3 linked regions of the Mytilus edulis genome follow. The protein of the gene in region 2 purifies or fractionates together with the protein of the main gene of each other region. This does not show direct contact. Links are inferred from orthologs where the notes say so. Each region holds a gene or a part of one and is shown on either strand. Other genes may lie near its edges.

Evidence for each region.
Region 1: the proteins of ribosomal RNA processing protein 1 homolog A-like (region 2) and serine/arginine-rich splicing factor 1-like purify together in Homo sapiens (co-immunoprecipitation; 3 studies listed by BioGRID and IntAct, with this or other methods). This does not show direct contact. The link is inferred for Mytilus edulis from reciprocal best matches to the Homo sapiens genes RRP1B and SRSF1.
Region 3: the proteins of ribosomal RNA processing protein 1 homolog A-like (region 2) and cell growth-regulating nucleolar protein-like purify together in Homo sapiens (co-immunoprecipitation; 3 studies listed by IntAct, with this or other methods). This does not show direct contact. The link is inferred for Mytilus edulis from reciprocal best matches to the Homo sapiens genes RRP1B and LYAR.

What each region holds. Positions count from the first base shown.
Region 1 is NC_092349.1:62,476,494-62,480,254, reverse strand, and holds the start of serine/arginine-rich splicing factor 1-like, read right to left. Parts: upstream 2,208-3,761; 5' UTR 2,130-2,207; coding exon 1,957-2,129; intron 1-1,956. UniProt on the Homo sapiens protein: Plays a role in preventing exon skipping, ensuring the accuracy of splicing and regulating alternative splicing.
Region 2 is NC_092348.1:78,180,072-78,183,832, reverse strand, and holds the start of ribosomal RNA processing protein 1 homolog A-like, read right to left. Parts: upstream 2,402-3,761; 5' UTR 2,346-2,401; coding exon 2,204-2,345; intron 1,532-2,203; coding exon 1,446-1,531; intron 697-1,445; coding exon 553-696; intron 142-552; coding exon 1-141. UniProt on the Homo sapiens protein: Positively regulates DNA damage-induced apoptosis by acting as a transcriptional coactivator of proapoptotic target genes of the transcriptional activator E2F1.
Region 3 is NC_092347.1:43,472,727-43,476,487, reverse strand, and holds the start of cell growth-regulating nucleolar protein-like, read right to left. Parts: upstream 2,426-3,761; 5' UTR 2,323-2,425; exon of another isoform or gene 2,318-2,322; intron 160-2,317; 5' UTR 152-159; coding exon 27-151; intron 1-26. Other genes in the region: protein-lysine N-trimethyltransferase SMYD5-like, read left to right, coding at 2,641-2,697. UniProt on the Homo sapiens protein: Plays a role in the maintenance of the appropriate processing of 47S/45S pre-rRNA to 32S/30S pre-rRNAs and their subsequent processing to produce 18S and 28S rRNAs. Also acts at the level of transcription regulation.

The sequences.
Region 1 (3,761 bases), on a different chromosome or scaffold from region 2:
GCACCCTGCCCTTTTGAAAACCTAGCTGGAACACTGTGACTGATTCACTTGCAAGTGAAAACGTCATCATCATTCTAACCGGTATTCATGTGAACTTCAAGTTAAGGTTCATCATAACCTTTTGGCTAAAATGGCCGTATTTACACCCCAAATTTTACTCTGAGTACAGACTAACCTATACACCTGCAACAGTTTTAAGGGATGGCAGGAACTAGATATATAAATTTTAAATGCATTTTATGTTTCAGAAAATTATAAACTTTTCTAGATTTTGCTATCCATTTTTTTTCGTTCCTGCAGAAGGTGCAAAAATTAACTAAGTAGTGAAAACGATTGAGAAGCTCCACTCATATAATCAATGTTGTGAGTAGTATTGATTTAAATGGACAATAGATGGACAAGACACCTGTAAACAATAGGTTATTTAACAGGTTTAAACTGTGTAACTGAGTGGACCGTATCAAATGAAACTCGGGTGTTTGTTTATTTTGCTATCTTCTGCAGACTGGAAAAAAATGAACATCAAAATCCAGGTAAGTTTTTAATTTTCTGAAACGAAGACTTCATATAACTTTTATATATCTAGTTCCTGCCATGCCTTAAAACTTTCCTGGATGTACCAGTTTGTCTGTACTCATAGTAATTTTGGAGGTGTAAACACGGCCATATTTTTCAATTCCTTATGATGAACCTTAACCCCTAGCTAGAGATTGACAACGCATGCGTTGTACGTGTACTGGTTATTTAAAGAAAAAGAATGTCAACAATGAAAGTGAAACTACGGTAAATCATTTGATTACTAATTCGATGCACATAAAGTCATTCTTATATGGTTAAAAACAATGAGAAACATCTATTTTTAATCTATAAAATAAAATCAAACAGACCTATAAAAATGCAATTGCACGTGTTGGTTTAATCTATTCGTATCTTAATTTTTGTTTACATCGCTAATATGGTCATCTGAGGTCAAATCGATAGTTAATTAGATGGCGTCTGGACTAAAATACACACGAAACGAACCTATATATTATCTACCCCATGCTCTGTAAACTGCTTATTTTAGACTTTTGATAGTTTGGATAAATGTTTTACATTGTTATAAACCAAATATGAGAATTTGAGTCAAATCGGTTACAATGAATTTGACAGCTAGTGCCCCTTTAAAAACACTCATTTAAACAATTTTCTTGCCTAAAATGACTATATGTGCACATTTGAGGGTCTATTTATGTATCATCACAGGGTCTTATTTCAAAGCAGGGTTTGACTCTTGAAAATGGGTCTGTAAATTGAAGTTTCAGTCATATTCATGATTTTAAATTTCCCAATTTGATGAAAATGACGCATATTTTCCCAATAAAAAGGGTAACTAGAGGTAGTTTTGAAAAAAGCCAACAATATCGCTGGCAGTGTTGTAATTTTCTAGGGTTTCATGTTTAGATGGAAGGTCTGCTCTGACAAATTTTTACCAATTGAGGTAACGATAATTTTATGAGACCTCTGACGATTCACGATATAAAAGGATATTTCGAACGAATCACGGTAAAACCAATGACACCAACTGATGCCTAAAATGACTGTTCAGTCTTCACTCTGAACTGCTAAATCTACAGGCCCACAGCTCAATTTTTGAAAATTTTTAGTTATATTCTGTTGGCCTGTAGGTCTGATTTTTACAGGCCAAGAGCAATTTTACCAGCCTGGGCTGCCACTTGTCGTGAAGACTGACTATTTGACGACTGACAGTAAAATTACTACAGTAGACAGTACCTTCATGAATAGAAACAAGTGCCTGTGATTTTTAATATTATTATTAGTAAATACTCTCTTACTCAGTTTTACATGTAAATATGGCTATGAGCACAGCCACAATACAAGTAGGTTTACACCTTGAAATTGCCAAGAAAAAATATTGACAGTTTTAAATTTAAATAAACTAAACAAAGTGTTTACCGTGGGTCCTCAAATTCAACAAAGGCAAAAGGGGGCCCTCGTCTTGTTTTCAAGTCAACAAAGTTAATTCGTCCAAATTTATAAAATAAATCTTCAATGTCTCTAGCTCTTATATCAGGTGGGAGATTGCCAACATAAATTCTGGAATCATTTGATGGTCGTCCGTAAGACATGCTTCGTTTTCTTTTCCTACGGCTGACGTGTTGTGAAAAATGGCGAAGAAAGATAGCGTTGGTTTCTAAAACGAGGCAGAATACGTGATCAAGACTAACTTCCTCATTCATATTGTAAAAATAAATGCACCACAACGTACCTTATATCAGAAAGTGACTACTTTTATACAAGGATTTGTATAGTAAGTTCTTACTATACAAATCCTTGTTTTATATAAACAAAAATCCTGTATCTTTTTTAAATATTAATAATTCATTTATTACAGCCGATTGCATTGAGTGTGTAGGGTAAGGTATATATTTGTTCCACCTAACAGAAGTTCCAATGGAAACTTTGTTATAAATATTGTAATTATATCTATTCCTGTTGGAACAAATATTCTATACCATTTATTCCGTTGGGAACATATACTGTAATATATTTATTCCTTTGGAAATTGTGTTCCAGAATATTTTTTTCTTTTTTGGAACTTATATTATGAAGGAACTTCCATTCTGTGACAGTAAACTTGGTTAGCTTGCTTGTTAGCTGAACCATGAATTCATTATTAGGTTAGCTCTGAGATTTAGGTCATGTAAGGTATAGTAATATAGGGTTATTGCATGAATATTGGGGAATATTGTCCCGAGTAGAATTTTATATTGCACGAGCTTGCGAGTGCAATATATGTTCTACGAGGGACAATATTCCCCAATATTCATGCAATAACCCTTTTATTGTATAGCAATATAATATTTAAAAGTAAAAATTGGTTTAAACTAAGATTTTGTCGTTGATGATGTCATGAATTTTGAAGATTTATTGCACTAGTGCAATATTAGAATTTATTGCACGCTAACTTTTGGTTACTTTCTGTGGGAAATATTATATTGCTATACAATAATACTACTTCTTTCGAAGTAGTCTAGTCCTACAGACAGATAGATTGGTTGTCTGTCGGACTAGTCTACTCTTAAAGGAGGATAGTTTACCTATTAAACATGTTAAACTTAATAATGACTGCACGGTTCAGCTAACAGGTAAGCTAACCAAGGATTTAACCTTTCCATACTCACTCAATGAAATCGAATGTAATATTGAAAACTCATTTATTATTATTAAAAATCATTTATTTATGACAAAAATCTTTTTTTAATATTGAAAAATCATTTTTTTGATAGTGAAAAATCATTTTTTTGATAGTGAAAAATCATTTTTTTAATATCAATAAATGATAATCACTAGATGGCTATTGGTACTTTACGGAACGGAACGGAATTTCATTTAAGGTATCCAAAGGGGGCATTTATCAAAATTTCGAAAAATCTTTAAAACAAAACAAACTTTAAAATTTCTGTGTTTTACGGTTTTCCATATACAAATAACACAAATGTATACTTAATCTCATCTTCACAGGTGAAATGTGTAATAATGTATAACATCGGGAAATATTCTGTAGATGAATATGTCGCCGGGATTGTCGTGATAAATTATCATGAAATTAACGCATTTGCAAGTCATGCATTATGATATCTAGACTGACCTCACGTCGTCCTTGATTAGAGACAGTGATCAAGTTGAATCTGATTTAAACTTTTTAATTTATTTTCCGTTCCGTTCCGTTCCGCAAAGTACCAATTGCTCTGAGGAAT
Region 2 (3,761 bases):
CTTAAGTCCGTCTGGTGAAGTGTCTTCCTTAATGTTCATTATCTTATTGGACAGAATGTCTGTAAACTTGGTAATAAGACTCTTTTTCCATTTCTGTTTTTTCAGAAACTCTAATGACTGTGTTAACATGTTACGGAACAACTGAAAAGTATTTGAAAACAATCAATTATGTTATTAATAACTGATTAAAATATCTATCTATAATATCATAAATATCATCTCATATCCAACAAATATCTTACAATTTCAATTGATGAGAGCCACATCATTTGGGACCATATTATGCTAATGATTGACAAAATATGGACAATAAACATGCTATACTGTGGATTCATTTATTTTAATGGATTAAGAAAAAATGTGATTTTTCATGGCTGTTCCAAAGTATGCAGGCAATTCTTTAAATATTCTAACTTCCTTGAACTCCCAGTTAAGTCCATTTTTTATAGTAAATAAGTTAAATACATGTACATAGGCAATTTGACCGAAATTTTTAATAATAAAACAGTGTTTCAATCACAGGAACAATGAGGCAATGGGGAGGATGGTTACCATCATGAATTTATCCATCCTCCAGCGGTCTGTGCCATTCCATTCCCTAGCCTCTGTCTGTAAGAACACTTGTATAAACAGTAATGTGTTGTCTGGATGACTGAATACATGAACCAGTCGGGACATAAATGCACACATCTCCTCCTACAAGTATAAAAAATATTAAAAACAGAACTTATATCAATCTCAAGGCACAAAATGAAATATTTAAGTATTATCTCTATTTATATTAGTTCAATCTAGAATTTAGAAAACTTCCTGTTTAGGTTGAATGCCACAAAAAGCAAAGGAAATCAGTAATGAGCTAAGGGAGTAACATTTTGAATCATCACCAAAAAGTATACAGATCTTTAGATTAATATAACAAAGAAGTGTGTAAAGTTTTAAGAAATAATCATAAATCGTTTTTTGAGATACGGCGCGACATGTAAAAAACCCTCCCCCTTTTTTTACAAAATACTCGATAACTCAAAAATGAAATTTTGAATCATCACCAAAAGTATACAGATATTAAGATTAATATAACTAAGAAGTGTGTAAAGTTTAAAGCAATAATCAAGAATCGTTTTTGAGATACGGTGCGACATGTGAAAAAACAACACACCCCTGTTTTAGTTACATAGTGCCGTAACTCAAAAAGTTTAAATCTTATTTTCACCAAAAAGTATACAGATCATTTGATCATCATAAAAAACAACTATATTAAGTTTCATGAAATTTAGATAAGTCGTTCTCAAGTTACGGTGCGACATGTTTACGCTGGACAGACAGACGGACAGACAGACGGACACCGGACATTTGTATACCATAATACGTCAAAATTTTGACGGGCGTATAAAAATCATATGACTGTTTAGAATTTCTAGTTACACCATTTTAAATAAAATATAAACCTGAAGAAGTGCTTTGTCCTGCATCCATAGACAGTAGTGGAGACCTTTCCATATCTTCAGGAAATCTGCTTCAGTAAAAGCTTTTTCTGTAAACAATTATATATAACACGTTTTAAACAAAACTCATAACTTAAAGAGTTGAAATCAAGAAAAGTTCTTTAATTTAATATATTCCATTTATAAATACACCAAGTATGAAACGACCTAGTTAAGAATTAACCAGGCTACAAGAAAACTAGCACTCTATATGGCTACATGGTGCATGATATAGAACAGGATTCAAGATTGTATTTGCCTTTTCTCAAATGTAGTGTAACTGAGCTGGGGCTATGGCATGTTTATGTGTACCATCCTAGCTGCTCTGTGCTTGGACATTTTTAGTTTGTGATTTATCTATCTATCTCTCTATCTTCCCGTCAAGGAGTGGACTCATGTTTTAGTGTATATACTCCAGCGTAAGTGAACAGCTAAAAACTTTCAAGTATGTAGTTAAAATCAGTGCTGTAATTTAGATGTGGAGTAGTGTCGACACTATAGTCTATATGGTATGGTATATGGGTCGCAGACACAGCTGTTGTACTCTAGCTTTGGTCTTACAAATGATGCATATGCTTCTTGATTTTGAATTGACCTATACGTTTTTCTTCATTAGGTTAAGCATTAGTGTGGCTGCTGTTGTAATATTATTGACATGTGTGTTCCATTTTGCCATAATTTTTGGGTCTGTTTGTTAGGAGAAACGAGGTAAACTTGCACACCTTTTTTGGTTAAAGATTTCAATTCAAGCCATTTTCTTAATTTCTTCATTGCTCTGTCTCTAATCTTCTTCTCATTTGAAGCCAATCTTTGTGCAAAATGTACCTCAACAGAGGCAGTTTTGCTAACATCTTCGTTTGCCATTTCTTCGATTTGATTTCCACATGTGCCGGAAGTGCTGACTGTCTATCTAAATTTAAAACCAAATGCGGACAAGCTGTAATTTTCCGGTATTTGGCACGTGTCATTTTTGGTTTTATCAAGGATTTGTATAGTAAGAACCTTCTTACTATACAAATAACCTTTTTCAACTATAAAACAAAAAGTTTAATTATTTTGTTTCTAAAGTGTTTGGCCCTAATGAATCTTGGATCGACACTTTCACCCCATTTTTGTTTGGGGTCGGTCTCCGAGGGGTCGGTAAATCCAAGTTTTGTATTATATAGTAACAGAGACATGTATACGAGTGACAGTGTGTATATATATGTCTCTGATAGTAACTATACACATCCTTGGTATTTAAAAACTAATGATTTTTTTAACCATAGGATTTATACATAGTATCATATACAGGGACAGTCTATACTAATATGATCTAATATATAAATCCTTGTTAAAACAATAGCATGATTAAACACGTTCTTGTCACAAATTTATCCTTGTCAGTTGACCATACAATATGGAGATAAGAATAGAAGGGCAGAACACAAAGTCAAGTATCTCGAGTAACGTATATGCGGAATAAAAGAGCAAGAAAACTTCAACCCGTTTGACAAATTGTGTTAGGCAAGAGAACTCAGTAGCAACTGAGATATCCAGTACCTTAAGAGATAGGTAGATTTAACAACTATCTGATCATGACTGAGTGATGCACCCTCCGTCGGACATTAATTGGACAATTTTACAAAGATAGGGTGTCCGCGTTCGTATACCATATACCATAGCTGGTCGATAAACACACAATGCGAACGAAAAAAAAATATGTTATCACAATTCATTCTTACTCAAAAATACTAAAAAATATATTTCATTTATGCGAGTATATCTATACATTGTTGAAGTTAACCTGTATAATTGGCAGTATGCTTTTCCTTTGGACACTCATGGATAATTATCCCATAGGCAATCATACGGCCACGCCACCTTATTCACTTTGATATACAAATTATACCTCTACACGGCCGACACTCGGCTAACCGAGAGATTGGTCGGTTAATCTATATTGAGTATGCGGCTATATGGGCGATTGGTCTGTTAATCGGGTTGGTTATACGTCTGTTAAGAGTAAAACGCTTAATTTAATGTTAAACTCTATTAAATATACAGATTTTTGGCATGTTATAAGAACCAAATAAAAAAAAGAAAAGTGTCTGACAAAATAATATCTATCATAGAACATTTTACACTTGTAAAAACATTTCTTAGTCTGCGCAGTTTTCAGTAAAACTAAAAGGCGTCGCGCAAGTATGTAGTATTTATGCTTATACGCATAGCAATTTTTTTAATAAAAGGCGAAACAAACAAATTTAGATATCATTTAAAGGACAAAAAATAGTACTG
Region 3 (3,761 bases), on a different chromosome or scaffold from region 2:
TATGCAAATGTATATAATATACCAACCAGAAATCTTTTCCACAGTCAACACATGATATCATATTGCAGTTACGACATCTTGTCTGAAAATGTTTTTCTACTTGATTCTTCTTCAGTGATTCGTTACACTGGCTGCAAGTAAACACCACCATCTCAACCTCTGAAAGTACATGTATGAATGATTTTTATGGTGATTAAGATAATAACACAATGTTGACTGCTGTACCCCAATTTTTTACCTTTTTTACCTTTTATGTCTGTCTTTTTTGTTCACACATCATTGTCAATATAACAGATTCCTATACAACTGTCATACAAGTGTGATGTTTAGCTAGCTTTAAAACCAGATTTAATCCACCATTTACTACTTAAAGCCTGTTCCAAGTCAAGAATGTGACAGTTGTTTGAGTTTAAGCTTTTGATTATACCATCAATAAGGGACTTTCTGTTTTGAATTTTCCTTGGAGTTGAGTATTTTTGTTATTTGACATTTGATTACATATCCACATGTTTATTATCATTACATCATGCATATGAGGCCCTAATACATTTTGTAAAAGAGTAAAAATGTATTACAGTACCATTCAAACGGAACGATTCAATATCCTTTTTTTTCCGATTTCCGTGTTTTTCGGAGCTACCAAGTACCGCGGATTTCACTCCCAAATTCCTCCAAAGATTCTCTCCCAACACTGCGTGGCTGTTAATTGGTTTATTGCCAATCGGATGTACTAAACATTTACGACGCGTGACAACATAATCAGGTCTTTTTTTTGTAACTCGATCGTCTAATCTATTCATCGGTTCAACAAGTAAAACTCAATTTATTGAAGCAATGTAAAATACTATGTTTCACCACCTCGGTACATTTATACAGACTTCAATAATCTAAATTACGAAAAGAAACTGTAAAGTGACAACTCTGTTGAACAAAGGGAATAACTTCAAGTGATTTTGCTACGAAACGGTTTTCAAATTGATGAAAGTATTTAATATCAATTTCGTCATTTAAATTTGGAAAGTGTAAAAATATTTTAGCATTAAATTACTATGATTTTACCTGTCTTCATGTTTTTGACAAGTTTATGACGCGCAGCCATTTAACGTTTACAAAAGATGTTAAAAGTTGTGATGATAAGTAATCCGCTTATCGCCATTCAATAGGTCACTAATCCTTTAATTATTATTAAACCTCAATTGCCCATCATAATATTCTATTCCAGTTAAATCAGTCAGCATTTCATTTTTGAACATTTCTTAATCGCCCAAAATTGGCAGTTCTTTATTGTATTTTTGTCTTTTGAACACAATTGATCCCTGGACAATTTCCATCATAATTTCAATATTTCATCAACCATAAATTTATATTATTGACCATGGACGTATAACTAGTGTTAATTTGTTCACATTTAGAAGAATTTCATTATTTTAAATTGCTTCGCCGACATATTTTCAGTATGCATAGTGACCTGAGCGTAACCCTCCTCGTAAAAATCTGGTGGTCACAATAAGCATGGATCTGTCATTAAAATAAACAATTATCTGATTGTTCATGTTAAACACGTGCTCAATAACTATGCTTTTTGTTATTTGTTTACTATAAGGTGACAATCGGTAAACTTCGGCTTCAAAACACGGCATTTAATGAGTAGCCATATTTGTTAAATCATAACAGACAGAGAGAAAAAAAAAATTGACGATTAAACATTATATATGCGTAAAATGAGAAATTTGTGCACAGAGGACTAAGTTTATGATATATACATGCATTGGTTCAAGAATTGGATAAACGTTATTTTTAACCACTTACTCGTTTCATATGACTTTAAGCCTATTACCCTATCAGTCGTGTGTCGGTATAGATCAAAGTAGGATAAGAGCAAATAATAGGGGAGTGAGCTCGCTATCACAATAAACATTTACCTGATTTTGGAAGAGATTATTCCCAAATTCCTCCCAACATTTTGGGAGGAATATCAGAGTTTTTCGGAGTAACTCGGACATTTTCCTTGGTGTAGGGTGTGGGAGAGTTGGTCCTTTTGAATGGTACTGTAAATAAATCTTATGTTATAGGCCAGCAGTGTATGACCGAATTCATGAAGGCAAGAAGGAAAACATATACACAAATCAGTTAATTACAACAAGGATTTTTCATGTTTGTAAAGTAATATTATCAATAATTATACAAATTCGTATGTATGAAGAAAAGCAAACAGAATGCTATCTAGATTTTTTATCAAAATCAAGCACTCTGAGTTTGTCATGTTATAATTTCATAACCTAAAGTTATAGGATGAAGGGTTTAATATCATACACACCTTACCAAGTAATTCAAAACAAGGAAATGCTTGTTTTTCTTATATCAAAATTAAAAATAAAATAAATGAACATGTGGCGGAAGTTGTCAATGGGATTCTAAACAAAAACTTAAATCGGATTAGATGCAATTCCGCGTTTAATTGTATTTACAAACGGTCGTTCTTTAAAGATTTGAACAAAAGAACAAGAATAAATTTCTTCATTTTGGTCAATTAGATATGATTTATCTTTTTGGTGACATTTCATTATTATTTAAAAGAAAAATGAACATAAAATTTATTTTCGTATAAGTTCCATACCGTCTTCGGTTCATCAAATAGAAATGGAGTTGAAAAACAGCACAGAAAATGTAGAAATACAACTTATTGATGAACTAAAAGTAATGAGGGAAACAAATAATCAGATGAATATAATAATTTAGTCACAAGTTTACTCCTCAATCCTCAAGACCTATCCCACCTCACCTGTCATTCATTTAGTCATTACTTCAACAACCCTAATTTGGTACATCACTACATGTATATGTAAAGGGTAAAAATGCACCTTTATTGTTAGGCGTTAAACAGTAGTTTTCGGCTAATGTTTGCATGAAATTGATTAAAATTTATTAATCTCATGTTAAGTTATGTCATGCTTATATACATTGTATATGATCAGGATTGGTCAGAGTTATTTCCAGGAGTCGAAACTGGCGCTGGTCCTGCGGTCATAGACCAGAAGAATTTGCGTCGGATCAGTAGATTTTGTCTGCTGGTGGTCTGGTGGACCAGTAGAAATTTGTTGATAAAACTCACTGATTGCATCGCAATATCAGTTTGTTTGCAAACAAATTAACTTGCGAAATCATTTACCCGGTACTGAAGCATGTCAAAGAGGATAATTGTATTCATTGAAAATAAAATATTATTTCCTGTTAACTTGAAGAAATTAATATAAAATATTGTTTCATGAAATTGTTTTTAGTGTTTGTCAAATGAATGTCATTTTTGCAGAACCAGTTAAGATTTGCAGCTGAGGGAGGGTAGGAGGGGTCCTGATCCAGAAATCCCGAGCTTAAAAACACGAAATCACGTAATCCCGGGCTTAAAAAAAACGAAATCCCGAGGTCCTGAAATTTAAAAAAAGAATTCCCGGATCCCGAAAGGGTCAATCCAGAAATCCTGAGCTTAAAAACACCTGATCCCGGAGTCCCGATAAAGGTCCTATCCCCCCTCGCAGCTGGACCAGTAGATTTTTTATTCCACTGTTCCAGCTTGCCAGTATACAAAAAGCTTAAATTCGACCCCTAGTTATTTTTGAGTTCTGAAATAATTATCGTTACCATTTTCAAGGAATTTTAGGTGGTTCGTCAAAATCGGTAGATTTTTTTCATAAAGCCCACGAAATATTACCGTTAACATATCATTTGGCAAGATTTTTTACCTTTATTCATCATGAAGGTAC